Oryza sativa Japonica Group: one gene and its partners. The protein of the gene in region 2 interacts with the protein of the main gene of each other region in a pairwise test. Links are inferred from orthologs where the notes say so. Each region holds a gene or a part of one and is shown on either strand. Other genes may lie near its edges.

The links.
Region 1: the proteins of WD-40 repeat-containing protein MSI4 (region 2) and histone-lysine N-methyltransferase CLF-like interact in binary tests that used the Arabidopsis thaliana proteins (3 or more experiments, as listed by UniProt). The link is inferred for Oryza sativa Japonica Group from reciprocal best matches to the Arabidopsis thaliana genes FVE and CLF.
Region 3: the proteins of WD-40 repeat-containing protein MSI4 (region 2) and histone deacetylase 5 interact in a two-hybrid assay, tested with the Arabidopsis thaliana proteins (2 studies listed by BioGRID, with this or other methods). The link is inferred for Oryza sativa Japonica Group from reciprocal best matches to the Arabidopsis thaliana genes FVE and HDA05.
Region 4: the proteins of WD-40 repeat-containing protein MSI4 (region 2) and E3 ubiquitin-protein ligase HOS1 interact in a two-hybrid assay, tested with the Arabidopsis thaliana proteins (2 studies listed by BioGRID, with this or other methods). The link is inferred for Oryza sativa Japonica Group from reciprocal best matches to the Arabidopsis thaliana genes FVE and HOS1.

What each region holds. Positions count from the first base shown.
Region 1 is NC_089040.1:9,530,261-9,537,072, reverse strand, and holds part of histone-lysine N-methyltransferase CLF-like, read right to left. Parts: intron 6,757-6,812; coding exon 6,437-6,756; intron 5,647-6,436; coding exon 5,485-5,646; intron 4,763-5,484; coding exon 4,678-4,762; intron 4,562-4,677; coding exon 4,412-4,561; intron 4,326-4,411; coding exon 4,278-4,325; intron 4,209-4,277; coding exon 4,140-4,208; intron 4,017-4,139; coding exon 3,313-4,016; intron 2,488-3,312; coding exon 2,352-2,487; intron 2,278-2,351; coding exon 2,057-2,277; intron 1,559-2,056; coding exon 1,427-1,558; intron 598-1,426; coding exon 507-597; intron 36-506; coding exon 1-35. UniProt on the Arabidopsis thaliana protein: Polycomb group (PcG) protein. Catalytic subunit of some PcG multiprotein complex, which methylates 'Lys-27' of histone H3, leading to transcriptional repression of the affected target genes, mainly abscisic acid (ABA) responsive elements.
Region 2 is NC_089035.1:30,085,922-30,093,825, reverse strand, and holds the start of WD-40 repeat-containing protein MSI4, read right to left. Parts: upstream 4,495-7,904; 5' UTR 4,457-4,494; coding exon 4,146-4,456; intron 3,413-4,145; coding exon 3,349-3,412; intron 3,170-3,348; coding exon 3,083-3,169; intron 2,707-3,082; coding exon 2,644-2,706; intron 2,398-2,643; coding exon 2,332-2,397; intron 2,229-2,331; coding exon 2,127-2,228; intron 1,933-2,126; coding exon 1,857-1,932; intron 1,312-1,856; coding exon 1,110-1,311; intron 848-1,109; coding exon 766-847; intron 663-765; coding exon 589-662; intron 441-588; coding exon 329-440; intron 224-328; coding exon 149-223; intron 1-148. UniProt on the Arabidopsis thaliana protein: Core histone-binding subunit that may target chromatin assembly factors, chromatin remodeling factors and histone deacetylases to their histone substrates in a manner that is regulated by nucleosomal DNA.
Region 3 is NC_089041.1:24,813,111-24,821,078, forward strand, and holds the start of histone deacetylase 5, read left to right. Parts: upstream 1-3,788; 5' UTR 3,789-3,857; coding exon 3,858-4,018; intron 4,019-4,564; coding exon 4,565-4,766; intron 4,767-4,864; coding exon 4,865-5,011; intron 5,012-5,167; coding exon 5,168-5,280; intron 5,281-5,915; coding exon 5,916-6,127; intron 6,128-6,529; coding exon 6,530-6,594; intron 6,595-6,916; coding exon 6,917-7,087; intron 7,088-7,173; coding exon 7,174-7,263; intron 7,264-7,878; coding exon 7,879-7,968. UniProt on the Arabidopsis thaliana protein: Responsible for the deacetylation of lysine residues on the N-terminal part of the core histones (H2A, H2B, H3 and H4).
Region 4 is NC_089037.1:31,095,800-31,102,552, forward strand, and holds the end of E3 ubiquitin-protein ligase HOS1, read right to left. Parts: intron 6,740-6,753; coding exon 6,581-6,739; intron 5,672-6,580; coding exon 5,159-5,671; intron 4,538-5,158; coding exon 4,406-4,537; intron 4,101-4,405; coding exon 3,361-4,100; intron 2,612-3,360; coding exon 2,446-2,611; 3' UTR 2,175-2,445; downstream 1-2,174. UniProt on the Arabidopsis thaliana protein: E3 ubiquitin-protein ligase that mediates ubiquitination and subsequent proteasomal degradation of the transcription factor ICE1. Acts as a negative regulator of cold signaling pathways.

The DNA of each region.
Region 1 (6,812 bases), on a different chromosome or scaffold from region 2:
CCCCAGCCAGAAACATCAGATCTCCCAAGTAAGACCTGAAGAGTGCACATAGCAAGTCAATACTATTTACAGATATTTAGAGATGGAATAGGACCTGTAATAGAAAATGAAGTAACACCCCCTGGTGTTTCATAAATTCACCAACATAATCGATAGATACTTTATGCAATTATTTTCCTGCTAATGGGAAGTTTTTTGGTTCATAGTTCATTGCCTGTTTTGGAATATAGTTACTCTAACTAGTTTCTTTGGTATTAAACTTAAGATCTTTTGTATTTAGACAACTGGAATTTGAACTCACGTGAAAAATATTAAAAAAAAAGAATAAAACTATTGAGAAGTACTGCTGGGTAATTAACTTAGACCTCAAGCCTCCTCACACAAAAATATCAAAGCATCGAATAAAGGCAAATGGAAGGGCCAAGCAGGCATAAAAAATCGATAGGCTTGACGAAATTATAACCAAGGTGCAATAGCATGAATAAATCAAAGTGCAAAAGGTTTACCCTTTGTTGCTGTTTAAGCAGCAGTTTCATGTTCCGGCATTCATAATTATCACCTCTTTGGTTAGGGACTCCCAATGTACCATCACCGCACCTGCACAATAGAAAGTACAGGTAGAAAAATAGAAGTTCAATGTACTGGCGCTTTGTTCTAGAAAAATTAGGGATGAAGAAACAGTAATTGAAATTGAATAACAGACTATTTCAACAATGAATAACAGAAAGCATATTTAAGGTTCCATGGAGTGAAAAAGGATCATGATTGGATTTACACACTGGCCGGATAATATACTCATCTTTGGTGTTTGCCTAACAACTTACAGTATCTAAAATTTCATTTCCTACCATTAGAAGCTCGTTCATAACAAATTCAAATTAAACTCCCCCATCATTGATACATTTTTCATGGATTAACTCCTGGTAAACACTCCTATAAAACTCAGATATTGTTATAAATAATTTAGATATAGAATATCAATTGTCAATGTGCTGGCACACACTATCAAGTATGCTAGCAAATGGTATGAGAAGGAAATGTCAAATTATTATTATTGCACCATTTTTTTAATTGTGGAATGTAGCTATTGCCTATTGGGACTGTTGGGCAAGCAATTGATATGATTATATTAATTAAATTCAATTCTACCATTAAGATATTTTACTGCAGAACTCCGTATCTTCAGATACTGGAATATACATATGCAAGATTCTTCCTGCACTTAAGGATAAATCCATCATCCATCAAAATTCCATCCTTCAAGTGCAGGCATAGGTGGTAATTTCTCAACTTTCAAGGTAGATGTAAGGTTGGAGAAGTGCAAAGAATGAAAAGCACATTATAGTTGGTGCCTTTCTCTAAGATATACAAATGTGCATTAACTAGCAAAATCATTCAAAGGGTCATCAGAATTTAAAATACATACCCTACCCAGCAGTTTCTACACACATCAGGATCACATTCCCTGTCAGCAGCAAAGCATGGACACTGCCGGCTGCGACACTGACTCTTTGCGCAATGGCAACCTCGGAAGCGATTCTTGCACATTTTCGGGCACCTGCAACGCAGAAAGGATTACTTCAACTTGCATCAGCAGGATGCGGACAGCAAACATTTGCACTCCATGTGTTTGCATCATTTATTCCAATTAAAATTATAAATTATCAAAATAAGTAATAGCTAATAGCCAAAAGAGCACACAGAACAAAAGAGAAGCATGTGTTTGATTCACCATTTGGGTGAGAAATGCGGAGTTTACACCCTCACTCTCCCACCATCAAGGTTCAAGTCCTCTTCAACTAGAAATTTGGTGCCTGTTTTCCTCTTAATTGAAAGGGTGCCTAGTTCCTCCTAGGTTTTATTTTCCTTTCCTTTTCAGTAAGCAGCAATGATTGCAAAACTAAGATGTGATCATACGACATAATTGGTCGGCACTAACCAAACAATATTGAAATTGTATACATCTACACAGTTTTGTTTTCATAAGCAACATTATTAATATCTAGAAGAAAAAATGTTCTCGGAGTCTGCAATATGAATAATTGAAGTAGCTCACCCACAGTATTTCTCACAGCAGGTACCATTTGTGAGACATGGACATTGCTTCCCACATGCAGACTGGCAACCACAAGGAGTGTATTGTCGACAAGGCTGATCCTTCCTTTCTGTAATCCTTTTCCTTATAAAATGGTAGCCTGCAGTTTTCCAGGTGTACTTCAAACGGCGGACCCTTCCTCGCCTTCTCACAAATCTTGATCTTGTCCGTAATTCATTACCCTGGGAGTTCAAGCATTAAAGTAAGATGAAACCTTGGGAAAATACAAGTAAATGAGCTTTATGATGAATCCTACCTTCATATATCCTTTAACAAGAGAATCAACACCACTAAGAGCTCCAGATGCACTGCTGTTTTCAATGTAATTCATATACTGAAAAACATCTGTGCATGTTTTCATCCCACCCAGAAGGTTCCGAGCAATTAAACAACTTCAACATAGGAAAAACAAGGGCTCAGTATGACTATTCAAATTAGGGAAAACAAGGTATTCTACTCATTATAGAAAGGATAAAGAACATTTCCAATATGCTTGCAAGACATCCAAAGAAAACAGGAATGAGTTTTTAAGGCATTTGAAATGAACATACATCAGAATTTCTTGTACATGAAACGCTATAACTAACACAACTAGATACTAAATGATGCAAACATTAGAAATTCCAGTTAATTCCGCATTCCAATACGTTATGCATGACAAATTGTAGATTGTATCTTCATGTTACAGCTTTTACTTGAAATGTAGTAGTATAAGAATATAGTTTCGGGGATGTCTAATTATGATGCAAGAGCATTTGCTTTAAATATAGACATTTGTGTTGAATACTTTTAGTAATACAGATATATTAAAAGAAAGCATAGTCAGTTTCTTGTGCTGAACTGAAAGGTTAATCCCTCCACCCCAAAATATAAGGTGTGCACGCATTTTAAAATTCAAATTTTACAAATCTTGACTCACAACTAGTCTGACAATATATAGGTTTAGTGATATAAAAATGGTATTGTCAGATTCATATTTGAATGTACTTTCATATGATGTTGGTTCCACTATAGAGTATAGACAGTATACTTGTGAGAAATTGACAATTAAAAGTCAAAGCACGCCTTATATTTTGGGACGGAGGGATTAGACACATTAACGTTTACTCTGTCCTGAACAGATACAGCAGTTAGTTGTGCAATAGTATACAAATATTAAGATGAAGTAGAAGGTAGTGAAATAATTCATATGAAGCTGATCATTTCAAGGGACCAACCTGTTCTTTCCAAAAATCTCTAATCCTTTCAATAGAAGCCCTTGCTCAATCACTTTCCAGGACCTGCCATGAGCTTCTTGCCTGCATATACTCTCATCAACACATTCCTCTTTCCTTGAACTATCACAACCATCTGTTGCTGAATGTTCATTATTTGTATCCTCCATTGAATCACTCTGAGCATCCACAAAAGATGAGTTATTCTCCATTTGAAGTGTGCCCTTCTTTCTAAAACTCCTTGTGCTTGGAGAATTACACTGTGAGGATACAACAGAATCCTTAATTCCACTCCTAGTATCAGATCTAAGCTTCATATCCCTAGGCCAATGGCATCCATTAACAATAGAATTAGAGTCCGGTGACATTTCCTGTTGCCCCTTTTTCACACTCATTAGAATTCTCTCAGCAATTCTTCTGTTAGTACTTTTCTTGATTCCACCTTTTGCGCCAAGCTTATTTTTTGAGAGGCCAGGAGAGTGTTGCGGGGATTTATTGCTTAACAGTTGTACTTCAGACTCACTGCTTTCTGAGGAAACCCTTGCAGTTGAAGAACTTTCACTTTGTTGAGATTTTGTTTTCTGCCCACTAGAACCAAGCTTTTTCTTATTTGACCCTATCTGATCCTTTAGATTGTCCGATGTTGGCTCCTCAACATCAACAAGCAAATGAGAATCAATCTCCATGATAGCATCTGGTTTAGAGACCTGACAAAAAGATTATAAATGAGGTAAAGATCAGCAAAACGGCATATGCTTATGTTTCGGATATCTAAATCATCATAAAAGAAGAGCTGCTTTTCCACAGTCATATGCCTATAAAATACAGACCAGTTTGTAACAGTGAATACCACATGGTGTACCCTCATCCGAGCTGCACAATGGTGCCTGCTTTTCAGTCTATACGAAAAGGACACTAATTAGAACAACACACAAGTTTAGGAAATAACTCATTGGTTTGAAAATTACCGGAAATACTAAATCTTGAGAACACCCATGTAGCTTGCAATCAAAAACCTTCCAACATCAAAATGAGCAGAATGTTTCATCAGTAAACCAGAGATATTATGTAAAACACACATGACAATTAACAGAAAACGTACCAAACATCGGCGACAAAAGAGATTGTCAAAGGAATCCAATGCTGCATCCAGATCTTTATCACCGTACACGTCTTCCATTTTGACATTAAGTTCAGACACTTTCTTGGAAGAACCCTCAGGTTTCTCCCCTTGTAGGATCTCATACCTGGCCTGGAAAATAGACACGTAATTTAATTTTTCAGAAATGAAACAATAAGTTGGAAGAGGAAAATCCCAAATGGATCAAATGCAAATGTGACGTGAGATTGAATAAATGTTGTATGAACCTTTATATCATCAGGAGCCCTTTCGATATCTCGAGCTAGAGTTTCAAGCACAGCATCAGACATGCCACATTCTTGAATGGTCATCCTGGCAATCATTGCACAAAATCACCCTTAAGTGGAAGAATTCCATACAGGAGAAACCAAATTATTGTGATCTATGATGTTTAAGGTCTAAATTAATCCACAAACAACTCAGATTAATGCTGTAACCATACTTTTCTTGCTTGTGCAAGGGTTGCACAAAACAAAACCAGGTCAAATATGCAGTGTGACCAGCTCAAGGTTTTCCCCTGGAACAATGTAGATAAAACTGGTAATGACCATTTCATTTAATGATATAAGACATATGCCCCAAAACCAAACCCTTTTTCTTACAAGTTTTTAATAATGTAGTTTTACTAAATAATCTCTTGGGAATATTTCATACCAAATGTTACTTGACCAGTATATTTAATATCATTTCTCTATTGCTTCTGTACTATGTTATATTGTGACTTCAAAAAGAGAATATTACTATTTTTTATTCTTTAATGAAATTACACTACTAGGCAAAGTCCTGGTAGTTTTCCCAGTCAAAAGAAAAACAGAGAATATGACAAAATGCTTACAGAAGAAAGCATTTCTCCATGAAACTATTACTACAGAGTCATCAGATCTGTTATTCTATGGACTGAGCCCAAGCTCCAGGTGCTATGGTAACTGCACCTGTATCTTGGTCCCATGAGCCTGTAACGGTCAAACAAGTTGAGCATCCTTAGTGAATGTTCAAGGCAAAAGAAAACAAATGCATGTCCAAAGCATATTTACCGAATTATGCAATCTTCAGAATCCTTGAACTCCTTTTTCTCTTCCTCGTCCTCAACAGCTTCATCTTCACTATCACTGCAAATTAAAGCTTCGCCACAGTTTGTATCATAGTAAATCCTTCGACGACCAAGTACAGATTGGTCTTCTTGCATCCGCTGGTTCCTGCACGAAAGATTGTAAAATCTTATATTTCAACAAACCTTAAGATGCCCTACCTCTCCAAACTAAAAGTATGCTGGATTGTAACTGTGACCATGCATGTTTTGCATTACTTATTTAGAAAAATAGAAGTTTGTCATATGAGATATACTGTTAAATTCATATCAACAAACAATTCATCAAAAACATGTTTCAGTCTGATTTTTTGCTTGCTGCTCCACAAAATCACGCAATAGCAAAGAGAACACTAAGAAGCATAAAGCGGATGAAACAGCAAAAGCAAAAGAAACACTGCAGCAGGCAAAGCCAATGGTTCTGGCACAATAGCTTTGCTACCAAAGCCAAGAAGATGAATTCAAGGCAGTCAATGTGGCATTTGCTGCTCTTGTTTTAACACACACTCCCAGCCTGCAAGTCTGCAACTGCATGTGATTAAGAGAGAGGTGGGGCACGTAGCAAGGGGCCGCATAAGGACTTGTTCCATTTTTATACTATACCATTTCCCAAGCTTATAGTAAGAACGAAAGGCAATATCTCCATTACACATTTACACATGAAGAGAAAAAAAATCACCAGAGACATAAAGCATTAGGTCGGAAAAACTATGTTTGACTGAATAGATTGTTGCACAAAAAACTAAAGACCACAAATGAGCGTGTGTTTACTGTTTAGCAAGAGAAATGAAATAGTATTGCTATGTTGTTGCTAATGGATAATAAAGTGTATACGCTATAACTTTCCATGATAACTATGTAATTTAAGCAGGGATCTTAGGGATGTCAAGAAAATGCACCTGTCCAAAAATATCCAAGTTGTATATGGAGGGAGTGTTGCCACTTCTGGTAGTCTAATCGGACGGACAGAATTCCTCGCGGATAGATTTCCACCCACAATAACAGTCGATGAACACTCATCTTGGCAATTGGCACCTTCACTTTCATCAGGAGATGACTCACGACTATTCACAGCACACAGGGCATCTTCTTTCCTCTTTGTGAGCAAATTCGAGACTAAATCTGTACTGTTGGATGTACTAGTTTGCCTATTTTTTGACAAATTGTGAGAGTGCAGTGTAATCGGGCTAAGCTTAATGCTATTCTCCTCTACCCTTTTCTGGAAAAAAAGATCACGGGGAACAAAACTAATCAGCTGGTAAATAAAGAAAATAC
Region 2 (7,904 bases):
ATCAAAAGAATTTTATGAATCTAAAGCTATTAAAAAGTACATGAAATGAAGGGGACAAATGGAGCATGAACTCCCATCCCAATTCCAAACTTTCTGCAGGGCCATGACAGAGATGACTGAAATGGTAACGAATTGTATAGAAAGATACCTTCTCATGATCCCACACATTTAAGAAGCCGTCTTCCGCAGAGCTTCCAAATACAGATGCCTTGTCAGGTGACCACTGAAACACACAAGGTTTGAATTATAGCATAAAGGCACAAAAAAAATAAACGACAGTAACCAAATGTGCATAAAAAATATAGTAACAATAAATATCTGTACATGCCTGAACACAAAGAACAGCAGCTTTATGACCCTCAAATTTGTGAACTGGAATGCCAGCTCCTCCAGAACCCAGATTTCTCCGGTCCCACATACGGACAGAATTATCCGCAGAACTGAATACGAAAAGAAACCATCTTACTCAAATGTGTAAATAGCTAAACCCACTATCAAGAAGTGTATCCACGGCTTCTTGTACCAAATGAACACTAAAGAACATGTTACATATTATTTAGAATTTAGAAACATTTCATGCCATCATACCCAGTTAAGATATAGTTAACATCATGGAGGTTCCAGTCAACACAATGAACATCACCACCATGAGCTTTCTCAACCTGGAAATGAAGAATAAACCAGTTTCAACATGGTGCATAGAATTGAGCTGCTCATTTTCACGTAAAGCATCATTAATCTGCTTAAAATGGAGAAGAGCACCACCTTAACAGCTGGGCCTGTACCACTCCGGGCATCCCAAAGAATAAGACAAGAATCATCGCCTACACTACAAAACTCCTGTGCACTTCAAAAAATAAAAAAAAATAAACTGTGAAGATAAATTGATAGAAGTATAGATCATACAATATCAAAATATAGCATGCATTCCAAGTTCCCAGCAGATGTTCACAATAATGATAGCTGCTATTGTTTTATCATCATAAAGAACGACTATTAGCCAAGACAAAAACTTTAGGCCATGCAAACCACTGAAGCTCATAGTCCAAACAACATATACACATGCTAGAGAGACAACATTTAATAACATGAAGGGGAAGGTGCAATACCTAGAAGGGCAGAACTGGACATCTTCAACAGTACTGTCGTGGCCAAGAAAGATACCACGAGGATCAACTTTAGGACTATCCTTATCATTTGCAGTTTTTCCCTTGCTTCCTGATGCCCCTGGAGAAGATTCAGTTTTCGAGGAATCTCCCAGTGCAGATATGTGGTCTTGGATGCTCCACCATACAACAGATTTGTCTTTTCCTATTACAATTCGTATTGAAGTCCAAGTTATCACAGCAGCACATTGAGTCGAGAGAAAAAACGTGTCCCCTGAACTTGGCAACAAAACTTCCAAGTCTATAAACTTTAGCAAGTGATTCAAGTTAGGCCCAAACCCAAGCTAGCTAGCAGCTGGTTTACATAGTAATCAATATGCCTAATTTAGTGATTGGCCTCTATTCTTTTTGTTATTCTGCACGTTAAAATGGTGCTGTCACCTCCATCTGCAAGCTAGTTTAGGCATGGACCTATCTTGACTCACATGTACAAGATCCAACAGAACAAAACAAAGCCAGTTCTCAACTTCAAGGACCCTTGCACACATCAAAATCGAACACTGAAGAGGTGAAGACCATGAAAAGTCAACAATATCAACCGGAAAATAATTTAGGGGTAATTGTTAAGGATAACACACATGCGCACACAAAAAAGTCTTGACACCAGAACAATATGTGAATAAATACAAAAGGTGTGAGGGGTATAAACTAGAAAGATTTAAACATACAAGAAGACAAAATATTGCTAACCTCCAGATAACACATATGGCTCAGCTGGGCACATAGCAAGCGCAAACTCAGCAATATCCTTATGTCCTCTTAATATCTGTCAAAACAGTTTAAGCTACTAAGCCACAAGTGTGAAAAGGGAACTCGAACTATGAAAGATGAAAACCTTTCAATATATTCTATGATTCCATAACACAGTTTCTTAGGACTTGTGTGCAGATACACCAGATGAAGCTGCAATTTCAGCTTCTCAAAATGATATAGGTTGAGAATGAAAATAAGAAAAGATACCAAATCAGGGCGAGAGTCAGGTGGTACCAAATCAGGACGAGACTCCATCTGTGCCAGTTGAGCTTGTCTATTTGGCTGGGCCTCGACATCCCAAATGAGAACCTGCAAATGAACAAAAAAGCCTTCAGTCTACAAATCCATCACAGAAATGCTTAGGGATTGATGATCACAAGAAACGGGCAGCACTACAAAGTTCTAGGCATACATCTGGGCTGTCGGTATGAGTGGCAATGATCTTACTGTTCTGCGGAAGCTCCCTAATCCTGTTCACCTGTGTCCATGGTAAAACAGAAACAATACATCAACGATTGGGTTAAATAAATGTTGACGGGGACACGGGGTTAAACAAATAAAAGACACATCTCAAGCACTATCTCCAAAAGAAAAGCAAGCCATCTAAACCACTAAAGTTTATAGCCAATATATGCACCACACAACATGGAAGATCTCATACAGAGGCAATGATCCTCAAGTTAAGGAAAGAGAAATCAACAATCACGATTGAATGAGCTTGTACCTCGCCTGGATGAATTATAGTCTTGTACTTCTTTACAAAAGGTGATCGTGCTTCCTCATTGAACTGCAACAAAAAATAAGAGACATCCGGTCAGTTTCATTGTAAACAGACTTCAAGTTAGTGCAAGGAATTCCTAATTCAGGTCTTTTTAAGGCCAATGTAAGGCAGTCTCATACACCGCTATCACAAGACTGAAGTCATGCAAATCTAGATGTTCGAGTTATGACATTTTTATTAATTTAATAAGACAGATTAGGCATAGTAAACTATCAGTTGGTACTACAGGTCCACATCTCTGATTAATGATTACATTAAGATGGGAAGCTGACACCTCGGGTCAATTAAATCTGCAAAAAGGACCAGCTATGTCCATTCATCTCAAACGTAGCATGATTCTGCATTTTACAAACTCAAATGGGTCACTGAAAAAAGTGGAAACCTGAGATATATGTTCAGCAGCTGCAACCCTTGGTTTGACAACTTCACAATTTGCAATAACCAGAGTATTAGGGACAGTCCCATCCGTCTGCAACAATCACATGGTTAGCAAATGCTAAAGTTTAATATCCAACTAAGAATACATAAATTTTCTAGCTAAGAAGACCCATCTGCATATCTGAATTCAAACTTCACCATAAATTTGAGCTTCAAAACATCCCTACAGCAAAAGAAAGAAAAAGAACAACTTATTTTGGGAGCACTTGCCTGCTCTGAAAGGTAAAGACGCTGACGATTCTTGTAGGTAGCCTTCTCAAACTGGGGTCCCCACCTGTTAACAATTAATGATGAGAAGATCAAATCGTTAGTTGCAGAACCACTATTGAAGGTCAAAAGCACGACAGAATCCAACATGCACAGCTTTAAACCGAATTACAAGATGATATGTCACAACTCAACACAGAACAGGCACGGATAAAGCATGACAATCTAACTCTAAAACATAACAGGTAATCATATTATCGACTATATACTATATAGACAAAAATGGACGAGCAGCAACCCAGTAGCCATAAAATCTCGAAGGTAGACTCGCATCAGCAAGCATTACATGAACACGGAAGAATCGACCCTATTATATCGACTATATAGACAGAAATGGACGAACAGCAACCCACTAGCCATAAAATCTCGAAGGGAGACTCGCATCAGCAAGCATTACATGAACACGGAAGAATCGACCCACACCCCCCCCCCCCCAAAAAACACACACACCACCACCACCAAACTCAAACAAACAGTCGCATCCCACAAAACCTCCCCGTCCCAAAAACCCTAACATCCCAACCGGGGCCGGGACATCCTCACCCCACTGCCATCCCCGCCAAATCACCATGCAAGCGACAGATCTGGAGTCACCGAAGCAGAGCCACGCCCTAAAACCCTAGATACAGTCCCCCAAAAACCCTAGCCCGAAATGGATCTCCACGGAGGACGATGGCTACGAGACGCGCGGGAAACCGCCGGAAGGGAGGAAGGAAGGGAGGAGATGCGGGGAATTTTACCGGCAGGAGAGGGACGGCCAGACGAGGTTGTGGTTGGCGAACCAGTCGTAGAGCACCGGGATGAGCGACTTCCACTGCGCGTAGCGCTCGTCCACCGCCGCCCTCGACCCCTTCTCCTTCATCTCCAGCGCGCCCTTCGCCGCTCGCTGGCGCCCGCCGCCGCCGCCGTCGCCCGCTCCCGCCTCCGAACCCCCTCGCGCTGTCACGCTCTCTCTGTCGTATGAGGAGCGTTTGCTCTGGACCCTTGCGCGTGGCTCCCGCTCAGAGATGCCACCCCTCTTGTGCCCGAATGCAAGGGCAGAGCAGAGCATCCAAGGCTTGAAGCGGTCGAAACAAATGCGGCGCTGTGGGCTGGGCCCATTTGTATTGGGCCAACGGATGAATAGTGTGGGATAGGCCCATTTCTATCTGGGCGTAAAATGTCGGTTAGATAGAACTGGGTTTTTTTAAGAAAATAAAGGTGGTGTTTGAATCTCCTGAAGATGAAGATGAAGATTAAAATTAAGTGTTTCACACAAAATGGAGTGGTAATAATGTGTGATTAATTAAGTTTTAATTATTACAAACTTAAAAAACGGATTGATTTGATATTTTAGAACAACCTTTTCACACGAAACGTATCGTTTAACAGTTTGAAAAGCGTGCCACGAGTATCCAAAATTTAATCCAAAAGTTGTTGGAGAAAAGAACAGGGCATACACTCACAGCTATCATATAAACACGTCCGAAAAACTAAACCAGTATATCTTGAGATAGAACTGATATTGATAGTACTCCCTCCGTCCTAAAATATAAGCACAGGTTCTTAGCTAAAAATGCTTATATTTTGGGACGGAGGTAGTAGATGGTAGCATAAGCTATCTGTACTAAGGTTGTGTTTGTTTATTTATGATGACGCTCTCTCTCATGGCCTGATCTTCTGGTGAGAGGATAACTCTCACTTTGATCAGTGTGACGTTTGTGACGTAGCTATCAACCAGAGCAAGTCGAGGACGCCGTGCAAATCGGTACACCACAAACGATGTCATACTAACCGTGACATATGGTTGATGATCCCTGCAATGCAAACGAGTGAACATTGCAAGAATAAGATAAGATTCAATCTAAATATTGCGGAAAAGTGATTAAGCACAGAGAAATAGTTGTGATTGAAGTGGTAGATCTAATCGAACCAACAAATCAACACACCAACTATTGGGGCTCTGAATTAATAATCGCTGACTAATCGAGTGAGGAACCGGCAAATCAACACGCCAACTATTGGGGGCTCTGAATCAATAGTCGCCAACTAATGAGGACTAGAGACAACATGAAGAGAGAATCTCTTATATACCACTGAAAATTGGTCGGATCTCTTGTATGCCACTGAAAAATGGCTCTTCCCCTATATGCCACTGGTCCAAATTTATGCACCCTCTCATGCCACTCTCGCCTGTTGACCGTTAACTCTCAAGTAAAAAAGATATATTTGCCCTTCTAAGTTTAGGACATGCCTAACAACTCAGAAGGGCAAACATGTCTTTTTTACTTGAGAGTTAACTACCAACACGCAGTCAACAGACGGGAGTGGCATGAGAGGGTGCGTAAATTTGGAACAATGGCATATAAGGGAAGAGCCAATTTTCAATGGCATACAAGGGACCAGACCAATTTCCGGTGGCAAATAAGGGATTCTCTCCAAGGTGAATGACACCTGGCAAAATTCAACTAAACAAAACCCTATTGTTACAGAGGGTGTACATAGACATTTAAAGACGAAAATAAATCTAGGGTTAATTGCTAATTTGTGGAGGTGGAGGGAGACACTTCCGATATGGGCTTAGTCTATTACAAGGCCCAAGGCCCAAGTTCGGTTTCAACAACAATACTGTCTTATTTTGATGATTCCTGTTGACTCGGGATAAATTTGAATATGAGACCGGATGCGTTTGAAAGGTGACGAGATAAGCTTTCCATCAAGTCCATGACCACTCAAATCAGAGTTGGCATGAATGCACTAGGTCCGTTTGAAGTCACTGCTGTCTTCGGAGGTGAACTTGATTCCAAAACTCATTGGACTTTAATATCCTGTAGATCATCCATTCATCCGATGTATTCTTTAGCGATGTTTTATATTTATCATGCTTGATTGTATGCATATACTTGATGGTCACATCAGTTTGTGTTCCCATCTCCTCTCATTCGTTTTCCGCGTGTACGCTTTTGAAACTACTAAATGATGTATTTTGTAAAAAAAAAATCTATAGAAATGTTGTTTTAAAAAATATATTAATCTATTTTTCAAGTTATTTTAATTAATATTTAATTAATTATATGTTAATGAGCTGCTCTGTTTTTCATGTTGGAGGGGAAGGTTGTCAACCAACACTAACGAACCCATCCTAAGGGTTTATTTGGATTATGGGGTAAGAAGAGTGGGACTGGAATAGAAAAATGAGTGAAGGTTATGATCAAAAGGAAGAAACATAATGAATAATGAATGATTAAGATTTATAGATGTCCTTTGACGAGCGAGAAATTATTTAACTAACCTATTAACTAAATATAAGGCCTAAGGTTTATGGTTTCTAAGTCAAATATAAATGGCTGTCAAAAAAATAAAATCAACGTGAACGCGTGGCGACTGAAATCTTGAAATGAGACAGTGTGCCAAACCTGAAAATCGTACTTGGTGGGCATATGTCAATTCTCGATTTTGAATAATCACTCGAAGTCGAAGGAGCAGCATCGTGCTCTAGACGTCGATGTTAGGCATCATGGCACCAATAGTCCGTCCCAAGACCACCGATTTTTTGCATGTTCAGATTATTTTGTCCATAAGAAAATATAGTTTTCGGAATATGTTCACATCCCCCATTTCTCCATGTTTGTTCCTAGAACTTCCTAGCTACTCCTGGCTTGGGAAAAAATTATGGTATCCAACGCACACACCAGATCAAATGGTTTGAAGCTCAAAATAACGTTCCGGGATTCTAAACACCGGCCACGGTGTTGTTCCTCACTTCCTTGCGCGGGGACCGCGCGCCTGACCGCGGTCCGTCTGATGCGCCAGGCAGGATGGCAGCGCGCGACGCACATGCATATGCACGCGCCCCGGCCGATCATCGTCACGCGCCCAGGATCGCATCGGAGCACCGCATGAACTTCCGTTGTTCCGCTGTTCGCGCGCAGGATTCGAGCCGCGATGGGCCACGTACGGGCACCTGCGGGGCTGTGGCTGCGGGCGAACGATCGAGCCGAGAACGCGACAGGCCGATCCGGTCGGCTGACCGATGGATAACCAACGGTTGGGTGGGTCTCTCGTCGACGCAGGCTCGCAGCGTCACGTCGTCGTCGCCGACAGCGACCACCTTTGCTGTCCGTGTCCCCGCCCCCAGCACGTTTCTACTCCTACTCTACTGCTCCACCACCGGCACCAGCAGTCTCGCAACACATCTATGGCCTTATTTGGATCCTCCGAGCTATTAAATAGTCCTTTAAAATCTTACTATTTATGAGTATTAAACTTAGATTACCGATAAAACCGATTCCATAACCCCTAGACTATTTTGCGAGACGAATCTAATGATATATATTAATACATGATTAGCGGCTAATTACTGTAGCATCACTGTAGCAAATTATGGATTAATATACCTCATTAGATTCGTCTCGCAAAATAACCTAGGGGTTATGGAATCGGTTTTATCGGTAATCTAAGTTTAATACTCCTAAATAGTAAGATTCCGGAGGGCTATTTAATAGACCTCCGGATCCAAA
Region 3 (7,968 bases), on a different chromosome or scaffold from region 2:
TCCCCACTTAACAATGGACGTTACACCTACACAATCAATATGCTTCGTCGGTACTAAGTAGTACGGAGTACGCTGTTTGCCGCTTCGTCCGTTTCATTCATATCGAGGCTCGCATCATTTGCAAGAATGGTGGATGCATATGCATGGATGCGCACGGCGCACCGGCCGGCCGCGTCCTGTGCCTCACGTACGTCCGTGCATGGCAGCTGTCCTTAATTTGCAGCAGATAAAAATTAAACTCAAGCTCTGTTTAGTTCACACTAAAATTAGAAGTTTAGTTAAAATTGAAACGATGTGACGAAAAAGTTGAAAGTTTATATGTATAAGAAAGTTTTGATGTGATGGAAAAGTTAAAAGTTTGAAGAATAATTTTGGAACTAAACACGGCGTCAGGCGGATGATGCACTTCAGTTTGGGAAATCATATGCAGATCGATCCATCCACCGGTACGTGCTATACCAAGTCCTACAGCTCACCCGCCGAAAAAAGAACAAGCACTACAGATCGAAGGCACCGGCCGGCGCCCTGGTGCTGACGTACGCCGGCGCGCGGCCGACACGATGCTCTTCTTGCCAATCACCTTGCTACTCCTTGGTAAGGCAAGGAGCCTTCCCCCACCACGACGGCGACGACGAGCCGATCGATGATGACAGTGAATGCATGGCGGCTAACATTGACATCGCACTGTCCATGGCAAGGAGGCATGCCTGACGTCCGTGAAAACACGTCGGGTTTTCATCGGATGGCCTAATCAGCTAAAGAAAAAGTTAAAATTTAAATTTTCAAACTTAATTTTAAGATATTTTTAATGTAGTTTCTTTTCAGCATTGATTTTTAAGTCACAAAAAACATATATATAAAAGTTTTATCTATAAATTTATTTTTATTTTCTAATAAATCGTTTTGATTTATTAGGAAAATAAAGCCAAACGAGGAGGCCTTCAACATCCATCGATCGGCAGCTGGCCTTCAATTCCATGATCATCGTCGGCCCCGCTGTACGCTGCGAGTGCGAGTGCGAGAGTTCAAACTTTCGAAGCCTTCATGGGGCTCACCTACTGACACGCATACCACTTCTTTAAGGTGGGACCCACCAACTGACACACGAGCACATGTGGGCATGTGGCGCCCTGACCGTCATGGTTTCGAGCTTCAGCTGCTAAACGGTGCACGCTTTTCAAACACTCCCCTCTCGTTTTCCGCGCGTACGCTTTTCAAACTACTAAACATTGTATTTTTTTAAAAAAGTTTCTATACAAAAGTTGTTTAAAAAAAATCATGGTGATATATTTTTGAAAAAAAATTTAGCTAGTACTTAATTAATCACGTGTTAATGAACCGCTCCATTTTCTGTGGATAGGAGATAGTTCCCAACACCCACCTCTAAACACAGCCTGATCATGCTTATGTCTTATTATAAGCCATAAGCGATTAAAATGGATATATAAGTAAAAACTTTTGTATATACTATGTTCTTAGCGATTTAAAAGTTAAAATTTTCAAAAAACATCAAAATCAGATTCAACATTAAGTTTTAAAATTTAATTTTTGGCTTTGGCTTATAAGCCATAAAGTAAACAACGAGGCCTCAAACGCCATGCTAGAGGTTTGAGCGAAGTCTTCTTGGGCTAGGTTTGTTTCTCAGCGTTGGGAACACATTTTCAGCGCACGAAAAACGGAGCAATTCATTAGCGCGTGATTAATGGAGAATTAGCTATTTTTTTTCAAAAATAGATCAATATGATTTTTTAAAGCAACTTTTGTATATAAACTTTTTGCAAAAAAAAGTACCGTTTAGCAGTTGAAAGCTATGTGTAGCTTCGAAGAAATGAGGAAGAAATGTGAAGAGATAGTGTATACAGCGGTGGAAGGAGTGTGTGAGGATGAGGGCAACTGACCAGGGGAAACCGCCCAATGAGCACTTGGAGGTGCCACCGCTGCCACCGAGGAGGACGGTCTTGGTTGAATCCGGCGAGCACTTGGGAGAGCCGTTGCTGTCACAAATGACTTGGTTGACCTCGTCGTCCCGCGAGTTGCACATGCCCGAGCAATCTCATTGACATCATCAGGAAATCAGCGAGCACTGGTAATGACCAGAGAGGCATAGACCGCGATGAGTAAGGGTGATAGTCAGCAACGAGGAGAGGGCGTCGGCGGAGGAGCAGTGTGATTTTGGGGTGGAGCGCAATGCAGCGATTGAGTAGGAGACGAAGGCGTACGATGAAGGGATTTAAAGATCAGGAAAATAAGCTGATCTGTGGATCCAATGACTTATTTATAAATTATTTTCTTTGTTGAGAGGGATTTATCTTAAAATGTGTAATATTGTAAAATTTTATGCAGTGAAGTTAAAGAAAGATGGAGTTAATATATAATGTCAACTTTGGGGCCATCTTAATAAGCTGCATTGCATTAATCTGATGGATCGTAGCTCCATAAGTTTCTTCTTATACGTTTGCTTAGGTGGAGGTTGGGCCTATAGGCTGAGGACATGGTACATTACTCATGTCCTCACCCATGCATGTTCATCCACGAATAGAGACAGCGAATATCTTATCCACGTCTACTTTTCTCTCCACCAACAATTTTCGTTAACTTTGCTATTCCTTCTCTCGCATGCCTCACCTTGCAAAATTGCTTCTCCTTCGATGCAGCAAGCAAAACCACTGGCCCTAAATAGCAGCAAGCACACGGATATTTTTTTTCTCTACTTTGGTGAGACGATGACGACCTATGGAGCCTTCTTCTAGAGCACACATATTCGCGTATTAGTACAAGTATAATAAGGTGATGCGAGTAGAATATAACATTTGTCACATCAAAATTATGCTTAAATGAAAAAGAGAGAAAAAAACATACTCCCTCCGTCCAAAATATAAGCATTTTTGGATCTCGTCACAGTCTTCGAGATGCTATTTTAACCAACAATATCTATAAAAGTAAAATGTTTTAAATAAAAATAGTTGTATATTAGTATGATAGTTTGTTTAATAGCATCAATTTTATATAATTGATTTTTTTGTTCTTTTGCTATTAATAGTTAAAGTTAAAAATATTTGACTTGCTTATATTTTGGGATAAAGGGAGTCCTATAATAGTATAAATTTATAGTCAATTGTAGCATGAGCTCTAATAAACTGTCAGATAGAGAGAGAGGGGGTGGGCATTTATACTCGCTATTACAATGATCGCTGCTTGGTGTTTATTTGTAATGAAGACGAAGATAAAGTTAAGGATACGGAAAAAAAGTATTAGTGCATGGTAAATTGAGTTTTTATTATTATAAATTTGAAAAAAAATGATTTATCTGATATTTCAAAGCAACTTATATTAAAAAATTTCGCAATGAATATATATTGTTCAACAGTTTAAAAATGAGTAGTACTTATTTAACGGAGTACTATGAGCCTGTTTACCACAGCTCCAGCTCCAATTACATCTCTCCTGAAGCTAGATCCACTTAAAATAGAAGTAGAGCTAGGTGGAGGTCTCTTACAAAATAAACTAGAGAGGTGGAGCTGAGTTTTGACAGCTCCATAACTCTATTTCAGATACAACTCCTAGATCTAAATTTTAGAACCACGTAAGGAGTTCATACTTCAGAACCTCTAGGTTGGCCCACCTACTGGCATTGGCCAGCTTACCACTTCCAGGTGGGCCCCGCTTACTGACACGCGTTCCACTTCCAGATGGGACCCACCTACTGACACACTCTCGCACTCACCCAAGGCCAGGATGACCACTAATCAGAGGAGAGGTGACACGTCTCCCTTTTTCTTTCTTCCCCCGCTCCATTTCCGAATCGTCGTCTCGCCTCCACTTCCGACTTCCGAGTCGTCTCGCCTCGCCGGCGCAGGATGGCGGCGGCGACGACCGCCGCGGCGGCGGCGAGGGTGGGGCTGCTGTACGACGAGAGGATGTGCGCGCACGCGACGCCCGACGGGGAGGAGCACCCGGAGAACCCCGAGAGGCTGCGGGCCATCTGGCGCAAGCTCTCCGCCGACGGCGTCGCCTCCAGGTATACGTATACCCCCACCCCCCGCCGCTCGCGGCGTTTTTCTTTTTTGTCCTTAAGGACTTGGGAGAGTCGGATCGGAGTAGCGTGATTTTGCTGGGATCGGCGACGCGCGCGGCGGCTTCGATGCTCTCATGGTTCGGCCGAATTGTTGTGGTAGGGGAGCCGCGGCATGCCTGTAGCCATTTCCGTTCAGTTCTAGCACGGAACCTAGGGTTCGCGCAAATTTTGTCTCGAGACGGTATGTGTTGGTGAATGGTGACTCTAATTGTGTACTTAGGTAAAAACATCCCAAATGCTAGAAGTACCCGAGAAAATCAGGGGGGGAGATGTATTGGTACAGGCTGTGGCTTGAACTACAGTACTGAAGCAATCGTAGCAAACTTGTGTGATTTACGCTGCACAGCAACTTTGATGATACTTCTTGGTTAAGCTTAAACATTAGCATAACAACTTAGGTCACTTAACTTTGCTCATTGCTTTGACTGGCTTATAATTTTGCTGCTGGCAAAGCTTCCTTGGATGTAATGTAGCATAGTTTTCTCCCAGGTGCATGATCATGAAAGCGAAGGAAGCTGAGGACAAGTATATAGCTTCTGTCCATAGCCAGAACCATATCAAGCTGATGAGGAGTATCAGCTCAAAAGAATATGATTCCCGTCGAAACAAGATTGCTAGAAAATTTAATTCCATTTACTTCAACAAGGGCTCCTCAGAGTCTGCTTTTCTTGCAGCTGGTTCTGTGATTGAGGTGATTCAACATTTGACATGAACATTTATTGTGTAGTTGATTGCTCTTTCCTTGTGCTGATTGCTCTGCAAAAAATAATCAACTCATTTGGCAAATAGGTAGCTGAGAAGGTTGCTGCAGGAGAGTTAAGTTCTGCTATTGCTCTAGTCCGACCTCCAGGTCACCATGCTGAACATAATGAGGCAATGGGTTTTTGCCTCTTCAACAATGTAGCAATTGCTGCTGATTATCTCTTAAATGAGAGGGTATGTTGTTGAAACTTGCCTATTTTTTTAGTACCAAAATCTGCTCTCCTTTTTTTTTTCCCTTCGTCATTTCCTATATAGGAACAGGAATGTTTTTATCAGATGCAGTTGAATGAGAAGGTGAACTCATGTTCCTATTTGCCTTTTTTGTTGCAGACTGACTTAGGTATCAAGAAGATATTGATTGTCGATTGGGATGTTCATCATGGAAATGGCACACAAAAGATGTTTTATAGTGATCCTCGTGTATTGTTCTTTTCAGTTCACAGGTATGACAGCCTCTTGACATGGACTTTATAGTTTTTTTTGGGTCTTTTTAGTAGCATCATTACTTTCATGACATGATACTATGATAGTACTAAGTAAAGTCATGGCAGTTTTGTTGCCTTCATTCTGGAGGTTTACCGCACTTTGAATGGTTGTACTACTTTGCCAAACATATCTTTTCCCCTATGGAAGCATTGAATGCTTCTAATTAATATAGAAATTTAAGGGCACTCTCTGTTATTTCCATGGTCCTAACAAACCCGTTTATAATGGACAGATAGTAAATGTATTATTTTTCCTTTAATGAATAGGATTGAATCCCGCATTCCACCAATCCACACTGATTATCGTACATTATTGCTCTTCGAATGAAAAGAAAATGGCATCACCCAAATAATATCTGTTGCTGGATGACATGGTGCACATTGAATAATTTAGGCAGCATTACAGAAATGTAAATGCTTAAGTCGAGTTTTCCCCAAGGAATCTTTTAGAGCAGTTGTAAACATTAATTGTTTTGCTTTGGTCCTATGGCAAAGCTAGAGATGTACTGGTTCAGAAGCATAATCAATTGTATGTCTGATGAGAACCTATTCATTTTAGTGTATGATGCTTGTGTCCTATGTTTCTTTTGTAGATTTGATTATGGCAGCTTCTATCCTGCTGAAGGGGATGCATCTTACTGTTTCATTGGGGAAGGAGATGGTAAAGGGTACAACATTAACGTGCCCTGGGAACATGGAAAATGTGGTGATGCAGATTATATTGCTGCATGGGACCATGTACTACTTCCTGTTGCTGAAGCATTTAACCCTGATATAGTCTTGGTGTCTGCTGGGTTTGATGCAGGTATATAGTTTAAAAGTTCGTAGAACTCTTTTGTGCCAGCAACATACTAACTTTAAAAAGAAACTTATAAAATAAAAATGCAGCCTTTTGTCTTGAATGAAACTGTTTATATAGTGTTAATTTATAGCTTCTCAATTTTATCTCTATGAGCTAGTTGACCGCTGCTTGTGCTAGTAGCATAGTGCAGCTTGCAACCTATTATATCTGATTTCGTTGTGGAATGATAAATGAGATCTTTGCTGCAGAAATATTGAAAAAAAAATCTCTAAGAGTTTGTTTTATAAGACTGTTACTACATGATAACAGAGCCTAAACTTCTGGTATATCTAATACAGTACTAGATCATATATGTGCCGTTGTTCGCTAGTTCTGATTTTTTCTCTACACTGATATTTTGGGTAGCACTGGGTGATCCTCTTGGTGGCTGCTGCATCACTCCCAATGGATATGCTCTGCTACTGACAAAGGTAAGCACTTGCAGAAAAATAACATTCAGTTAGGCTTTCACCACGCCATGCATTTTCCTGTCTCTAAAGGAATAACATTCAGATCAGCTGGGTTAGGTTAATAATATCGAAGTTTTCCAACACAGCAACCAGAAACTTTTTATGTAACTTTTTCCTTAGTAATTTCTTATTGGTATTCTCTGCTGTTAGCTGTTAGGATATTTTCATTTGATCTCTTCCAGTTACTTCATATCTCTTTATGTCTACTGGGCTGTGCTAAAATTATTATTATTATTATTTTTTAAAAAATAGTAATATTTAATTCTGTATGTAAAACCTGCAGCTCTTAGGTTTTGCCCAAGGGAGGATAGTGATGGCTCTTGAAGGAGGCTATAACCTTAGATCCATAGCAAATTCAGTTAGTGCTTGTGCTAAAGTTTTGTTGGGAGACAAGTTCAGATTTGACACTCCTGATATGCAACCGTTTGAATCTTCATGGAGAGTTATACAAGCGGTAATGGTCTGCTTACATTAATTGCTGTCTGATTCCTTACTGTGGATATCTGTAATTATGTTTCCTTCCCCCACACCACTGACCAGGTACGTGATGAATTGAAGACGTTCTGGCCTGTTCTGAGTAATAGATTGCCAGAGAATATATCATTGAGGAGTAGGCCCTCACAAATTGAGGTAGATACTTATTTTTCTTATCTTAAAGACTTTTAACTTGGGATATTCTTGGTCTAATCCCAGATTAATTTGCTCTGACATAAGATGCACCATCGCTTAACCCTGGATTTACTTGTGTTTGCCAGGAGTTTGGCACCCTTTTCTTAGCACTTAATTTATATAGACATGTAATAACAATAGTTGCAGGTTGCACTGTGTATTCATGATGACTTCTGCTACAAAAACAATTGTACTGTAGCTTAACTCCAAAGAAAAATACATGCTGGGCTGTATCAACTCTGTTATGCATTTCAATTGATAGGCTACTTGCTTACAGCCTGTACTTTGATGAACTGTTTAAAAATGCTTAAAAAATACATCATGCATAGACCCATATCCTGGAGATGCTTCATGCCTCTCAACTCTTACAAAGCACAGTTACACTGGTCGACTTTATCAACATCATGCATCTTAATTTGTATTGAGTTAATGATCTTGGTTTTGATTCATTAACATATTTGGCCTGCTGCATGGTGGCTTAATGTATAGCTAAGACAAAATTGTAGGGAAATATCAACATTGTGTTGCCCTTGACTAATTCACCTTTTTGTTTCCCCCCACTTTTGGTATGATCAGCTGTATTCTTCTGGTTCTGACTCTGAAGTTGAAGATCTCCCTGATGCTATTGCTTCTGTCAATATTATTCAAATTACTTATGGTATTATA
Region 4 (6,753 bases), on a different chromosome or scaffold from region 2:
GTCTTCGGCTGTATTTAGATCTAAACTTCTAACTTTTTTCATCACATCAATATGTTATACATATATAATTTTTCAATTTTTCAGTTATATCATACTAATTTTAACCCAAACTTTCAACTTTGGAGGGAAGTAAACGGCTCATTCTCTCATGATAACCATAGACTTCAACGGATGGATACGGTGACACCGGCGCCGATTGCGATTCGCGCCGCCCCCAGCAATTTTGTCATCGACATGTCAGAGAGTTTTAGGTCCTTGCTAGCTGAACCCCGAGCAAATCGCACAACTGGAAGACATTTGGAAATAATATCATTTTGTATTAATTTTTCAGGAAATGTCATTCAATATAGTATTGACATATTTTTTTAAAAAAACTAAATTTTACAGTAAAAATAATGTAATTTCTTAAAAAAAATTAAAAATGATATCGGTACGTTTGAAAATTTTCCGTCAAAAAAACCTGACCTAGAATTATGATGAGATATTATTTAGTACAACGAATATAAACATAATAATTATGTCCATATTTATTATACTATATTATTTCTTATCCTAATTCTAAGTCGGGTTTTAATGTGACGGAGGAAAAGTACTCATGTGTGGCACAACCACACAGCAATTTGCACAGCTCACGTGGCGCAACCCACGCTGCTGCCAGTCATCCACTCGTCCGCACACAGCAGGAGAAATACCGCAGCGGTACATCCATCAGCAAATTGAAACTTGAGAGGCATCAAACCCTATCAACAGAACTCAATCAATCAGATCAGAGTACAAAAAAATTATTTGTGAGTATATGTATTCTTAGCAACTTAAAAGGAAATGTTGTAAAATAAACTATGATAAAAAAAAGAAATCAAATTCAAAGGTTGTAAAATTTAATTTCAGCGCATAAGCGAATCAATGAGAATCTATAATGTGAAGGCTTAATTATCTACCTACCATTACATCATCTTTTAATCTTTAGCGGAGTTAAGGATTAATTTATCTACCTACCATTTCATCATCTTTTATTCTTTTTGGTGGGTTGCCTTACCGAACAAAAAGGAACAAATTCCTTTGTCAGCAATAATTAGCAGGCGTGAAGCAGCCCACAGAAAATGGTTACGATGCACAAGCTGCTGGCAAAAGCCGTTCGCCCAGCACACAGAAAAGAAAACCAAATACTGTACGGATGAACTGACCGGCTTATCAATAAACACATATCAAAAGGACGGCGACATCTTCCTTGTCCGTTCTTCAACAACCCGGTCCCGCATTTGATCCGACCTCATCTTCTGCAGCACGGCCATTTCCCATTTCTATGGTTCAATGTATCATCACTTTTAAATATAAATGAAGAATGGATGAGCCACTGGATTTAATTGGATGATTGGACCCTCCTAATTTTTAGATTTTGCCGAGGAGATAATCACTTTATTTTACTCTATCCGGTTACTGTATTGTAGGACGAAAGGATGAAGATCCGGTTACAGTATTTTGGAAGGGAGAGATGAAGAGAGTATGTTCTTGCGTTTCAGCAAACTACTCACTCCGTCTCATAATATAAGTGATTCTGGTGGGATGTAACACATACTAGTACTACGAATCTAAACAGGGAGTGTCACATCCTAACAAAATTCATATCATAGGATGGAGGGAGTAGCATATAATGTAAAAAAAAAAACTAGCATATACTCAGCAAAGTAAGGATAGTAGATGGCAGCCATCATAGTACATACTTTATCCGTTTCATATTATAAGACTTTCATATTGCCCATATTCATATACTCTCTCATTCCAAAATTCTGAGACCTATTTTATTATTTGGTTTTCCAAAAGTCTAAGTCCTATTTATAGCCATTATATGCTAAATTAAATTGTTGATAGAAACCCAAGAAACCATTTTAATACTTATTGGTTACATGTTCATTGGTTTTATCATTGGTAAATGAATTAATTGCTTCTTATCTTGCTGTAAAAAGAAATATGACTCAGATTTTTGGAAGGAGGGAGTATATGTTAATGAATTTAGACATATATATGTGCCTAGATTCATTAACATCTATATGAATATGTGCAATGCTAGAAAGTCTTATAACCTGAAACGTAGGTAGTAGTATATTGTTTTCTCCAATAATACTCATTGTTTTCTCCGGGATTTTCTGATGTGCTAAAATCACAGGAACAGAGAGTAAACATAAAGAACTTGTGAGCTTTAAATGCCAAACTATTTTGATGCAACACACATATCGATTTACTTTAGTTACAATACATCATTGCGGCCATGGCACACCAAAATTTTGCAATATAGTTGCCACAATTTTTCCCCCAAGACATTGGGTAAGTTGCACCTTTCCTCAAACAAATCGCAGTTACATTTGGGGTGTAAGTATTATGTCTGGAAAAGAATTCGACAAGATGTCCCCTGCGCGCGATCAAAACACCTGGACCAGATGGAATATATCATCTTCTAGAAAATCTGGCTCGTCTTCGAGTAGCAAGTGAAGCTCCACTCTCCATATACCCACTTGTTCTTTTATCATCTTCGTCTTCACTAGACTCATCGGATCTCCACCTTGACACACCTTTCCCAGGTGGTGCTTCATCAACTGAAGATTTCTTACCAAAGCTGCACATGATATAAAAGATCACGGTACATTATTGTGTAACAATTTGATTTAAAAAACACTATTGTGTAGTGATAACATTCCATTTACCATAGCATCACATTTGTGGTTCAGGCAACCGCCAGTTAAGGGGCTGCTGGGGCAAATATCCAATACTCCAAAATCACTGGGGGAAAAGAACTAAAACCTAACCTTTATTAGGGAATCTATGAATGATCTAGGTGTACTCTGGCCAAGTTCTTGACTCTCAAACAAGTATAGCTTATAAGTGTTTGGTTCCCTACAAAATATCGATGTATCCAGCTTCCTTGTGATTGTCTTGGAAAACAGTGGACTAGCAGGTATCACAAATGGGAGAGAACCAATACAGACCAGGGACCATAATCCCGTTGGGAACCAGACATTACGGTCGGTTCCAGATAGTCTAACCAGCTAGCTATTTTTAAAAAAAAATCAAATGAAAACAATGAACAGTAAAACCTGGCGTTCTTAGTGCCTATTTCCAAATCTATGAAGCATTTCTGCACTGGAAAAAAAATGGTTCACAGTAGGAACCACCCATGGGCCATAACTTTTCAACAAGGGTATATACCATAGACCACTCATTAGTACCAGTCAATAGAAGCCGTTCATCTATAGACCTTTGATTCTACATCATACTATATCTCATGAGCTACAGCGTCAGCTACCAACAGGTAGACATCAGAATTAAAGTACGAAATAGATTGTCAAGGTACAGAATCATGATTACCTGAGAACATTCTCTTTAGGAGGTACTTTTGTTTTCTGGATGTGAACCTCATGAAAACCAGCATTATCGGATATCTTTGAGTGACCATTTTGACCAGCACCTGTGCCACTTAAGATGAAAGGTTTCTCAGCACGTGAACCGAAGTCAAACTCCCCCTTTCCGACAGAATCTTTTACTTGAAAAGGAGTGGTTTTGTTAACCTCAGTCTTCAACAAACTTGATCGGTACTCCTTCATAGGTGTATCAACAGAACCCATGTTGAAATACATAGGGAGTGAATCATAACCAGCAGGTCTAGTTCCCTTTTTTAAACCAGACTCTCCTTTCGTAAAACTGAGTTCTTTAGTCCCCTTTAAATATGGACCTTCACCATTCTGTCCCATGGAGGGGAATAGACCCCCTGCAGTTGATCTCACATTGGATATAGGTGAACTCAGGGGAACTGGTCTGCATTGGAGGATAGATGGAACCTTTCTGCCAAACTCTGAACGGGCACTGCTGTTAAGGCCAACAGAATCATTCAACACATTGATATTTCTTGATTGGAGAGGGCTTGACTTCTTCTGAGGAATAGGGGTGGCCGATAAGCTAAATGCAATGACAGGATTTGGTGATTTGACTATGTGATTAGCTGGAGAAGAGTTTTGCATAGTTTGTACAGCAAATTGGTTTCTCTCTGCACTGCCAATGGTTCTCATATCCTCCCTCTCAGCCTCAGGAAGCATCTCAATGCATTTAGTCTGCATATACAAGAAAAAAATATTGAAGTGTTGCATATTAGCATATGCATATCAGAAACAATATGCAGACAAGCAATAGAGCAGATTATATGTTTGAAAAATTATTAGGCTTCTTCCATTGATCCAGAATAAAGTGTATAGTACAGTAGTTACAGTATATCACGTATGGATATACATTTTATGGCATGGTAGAATCACTAGAATTATGAAGAGCCCCCCAGCAACTCATGCGGCATGACTACCAGAATAATAAGAATTTAAATAGGCACGTCAAAAGAATCAAAGTGTAAAAGCTAAGCACTTACAACCAAACTTTGTCTCCACTGAGCAATTGTTCTGATTTTGGATGCTTTTTCTTCACTAGCAGTTTCCAATGCATTCTGCTCAAAGCTTTGAAGACTACGATCGACCTCATATGCTTCCAAATACCGATAACGCTAACAGAAGAAGCAGAAAAAAAATATCCTCAGTTTCACCTTCTGAAGGTTCCTTGCTATAATAAGGTAGAAAATTGTGCATATCTTAGCAGTTTGTGGCTGTTATTTAGATTGATGGTATCACCTTGTAGTAATATAATCTTGTTACACTACAAAAATTAGAACGCCGTGCATAAATTTGATGTACAGAAGTTGGGTGATATGCAACAATGTTAACTGATTATAGACCCTTCAAACACCCTTGATCAATCTTCTGCTATATCTATCATTCAGTTACACAGAGTGTTTCTGAATGTAGGAACTCATTAGCATCATTTTTTCTATCTTGAGCCTGAGTATGCCAATAGTAAACATAAACTACTTCATATACAAGAAAAAGAGCTGCCACTGCAGCAGATGCTATGATTTAACACTTTGAATTCGAACTACTTTTATCATACCTTCAATGTACCTAGCACTCAAAATGAAGGTAAATAGTTGGTAAATATATGAGCAATGACTTAGATGAAAATTTTCTATTTGTACTCCAATTTATGCAGGTTGCACGCACATGAGTAACTCCTGTAATGGAACTCTATCTCTCTCTCTCTGTGGTGGTGGTAGGGTGGGTGGGTTTTTTACCTGGAGGTAGAAAACAACAAGTAGACTACCACATGGCTCCATGGGCATTTCACGAGCACAGTCAAGGAGCGACTTATGAAGATGTTTCCCTTCCTCAGAATCCCAAGGCAGATCAATCATTCTATCAACAAAGTTCCTCTCGATGCAGATATTACAAAACTCGGTCATCATGACCTCAACATGGTACATCCAAGAGCTTTTGTAACTGTTAGCATCTTCAACATGTGACATATCTGCAGACCTTTGCTCTTTTACCTTAGAGCAGTAGCTCCTGTGGTACATAAATGCTTCTGTTAGATGGCCATACTCAATTCTTACACGGACTGCAGTCACTGCCTCACTAAGAGATTCTGTGTCATCTTTCTCGATGTTAGCAGCAGAAGAGAAGGTATCACGCCCTGTGCACTTTAGCACAACCAGTGCCACATCAGGTTTATGACGCTCCAGAAGAACTTGTGCTATCTTCGGATGTGTTTCCTTGCAAGAAATCTTGGGAAGTAGAGAGCATGCCTCCTGCACAGAGTAGAGTGCATGAAAATAAAAAATGATTAGACTTCAAGAAATCTTAGGTGAACAAGCAAGTCTTTAGTTAGAACCACAAATAAGACTCAAGCTCTGATGCCAGGGTGCTAACATGAACAGCAAAAGGGAGAGCTCATTAAATTTTAAAGAACAGAAGATACTTATACAGCATGTAACAGAAACTGACATTTCAAATGTGGAGTCAAGTGACATGTGAGACCCAAAAGAACAGGTGGGAAACAACACATCACAATGCTCTTAGCGCACCTTAAGCACAGTAAAATTAACTAACAATCCTCACATGCATCCATCTGGGTTATATTAGTCATTACAATAATACTTAGCACCAAAGTTCATGCTATTTGGTAGGAGTAGATTAGATTCCAAAGAATAAAACCATGACCATACAAAAGGCAAAATCCTTATAGAAGTCCCAAAGCATGCAGAAACAGGACAGAAACAACAAATGAACAAATGCCATGGTAGATTCCAACATATCCCTATAATATACAACAACAACTAGAAACCTATCAGTATCAGCTGTCAGTTCCACTACTGGCAAGCAGTTCTTCAGTTGCTCATTCCACTAAATACATTTATCTCATCACACAGATACATGTAATAATTATATTATTTTACTTCATATCTAATAGTCTACACAGAACAACCATCCCAAGAATGTTTTTTCCTTAGAAAGGGCCAAAAAAAAATCAAAACTTGCATCAACGCAACATCATATGACCATGGAAAGCCAACACGCTTAAAGGCTTAAATGATATGTTGATCACACAAATATGTCAAGTTTTCACAAGCATGATGTGGAAGCTGGGTGAAAAGAACATCTATTATCAATCATATATTTGCATACATCAGTAGTAAAATATAGGTAGAAGCAGCTACCTCCAAAGCATGTGAAGAATGGTCATCCAAAAGACAAAATACCAGACATTCAAGCAATGTTCTTCTAGAAATCCCAAAGGTGGCAGCAAAATCATCCACAAGATACCTCCATTCTGAATCTGGTCTAGTCCAGTGTCGATCAAATAGATAATACAAGAACTATAAAAATGTCA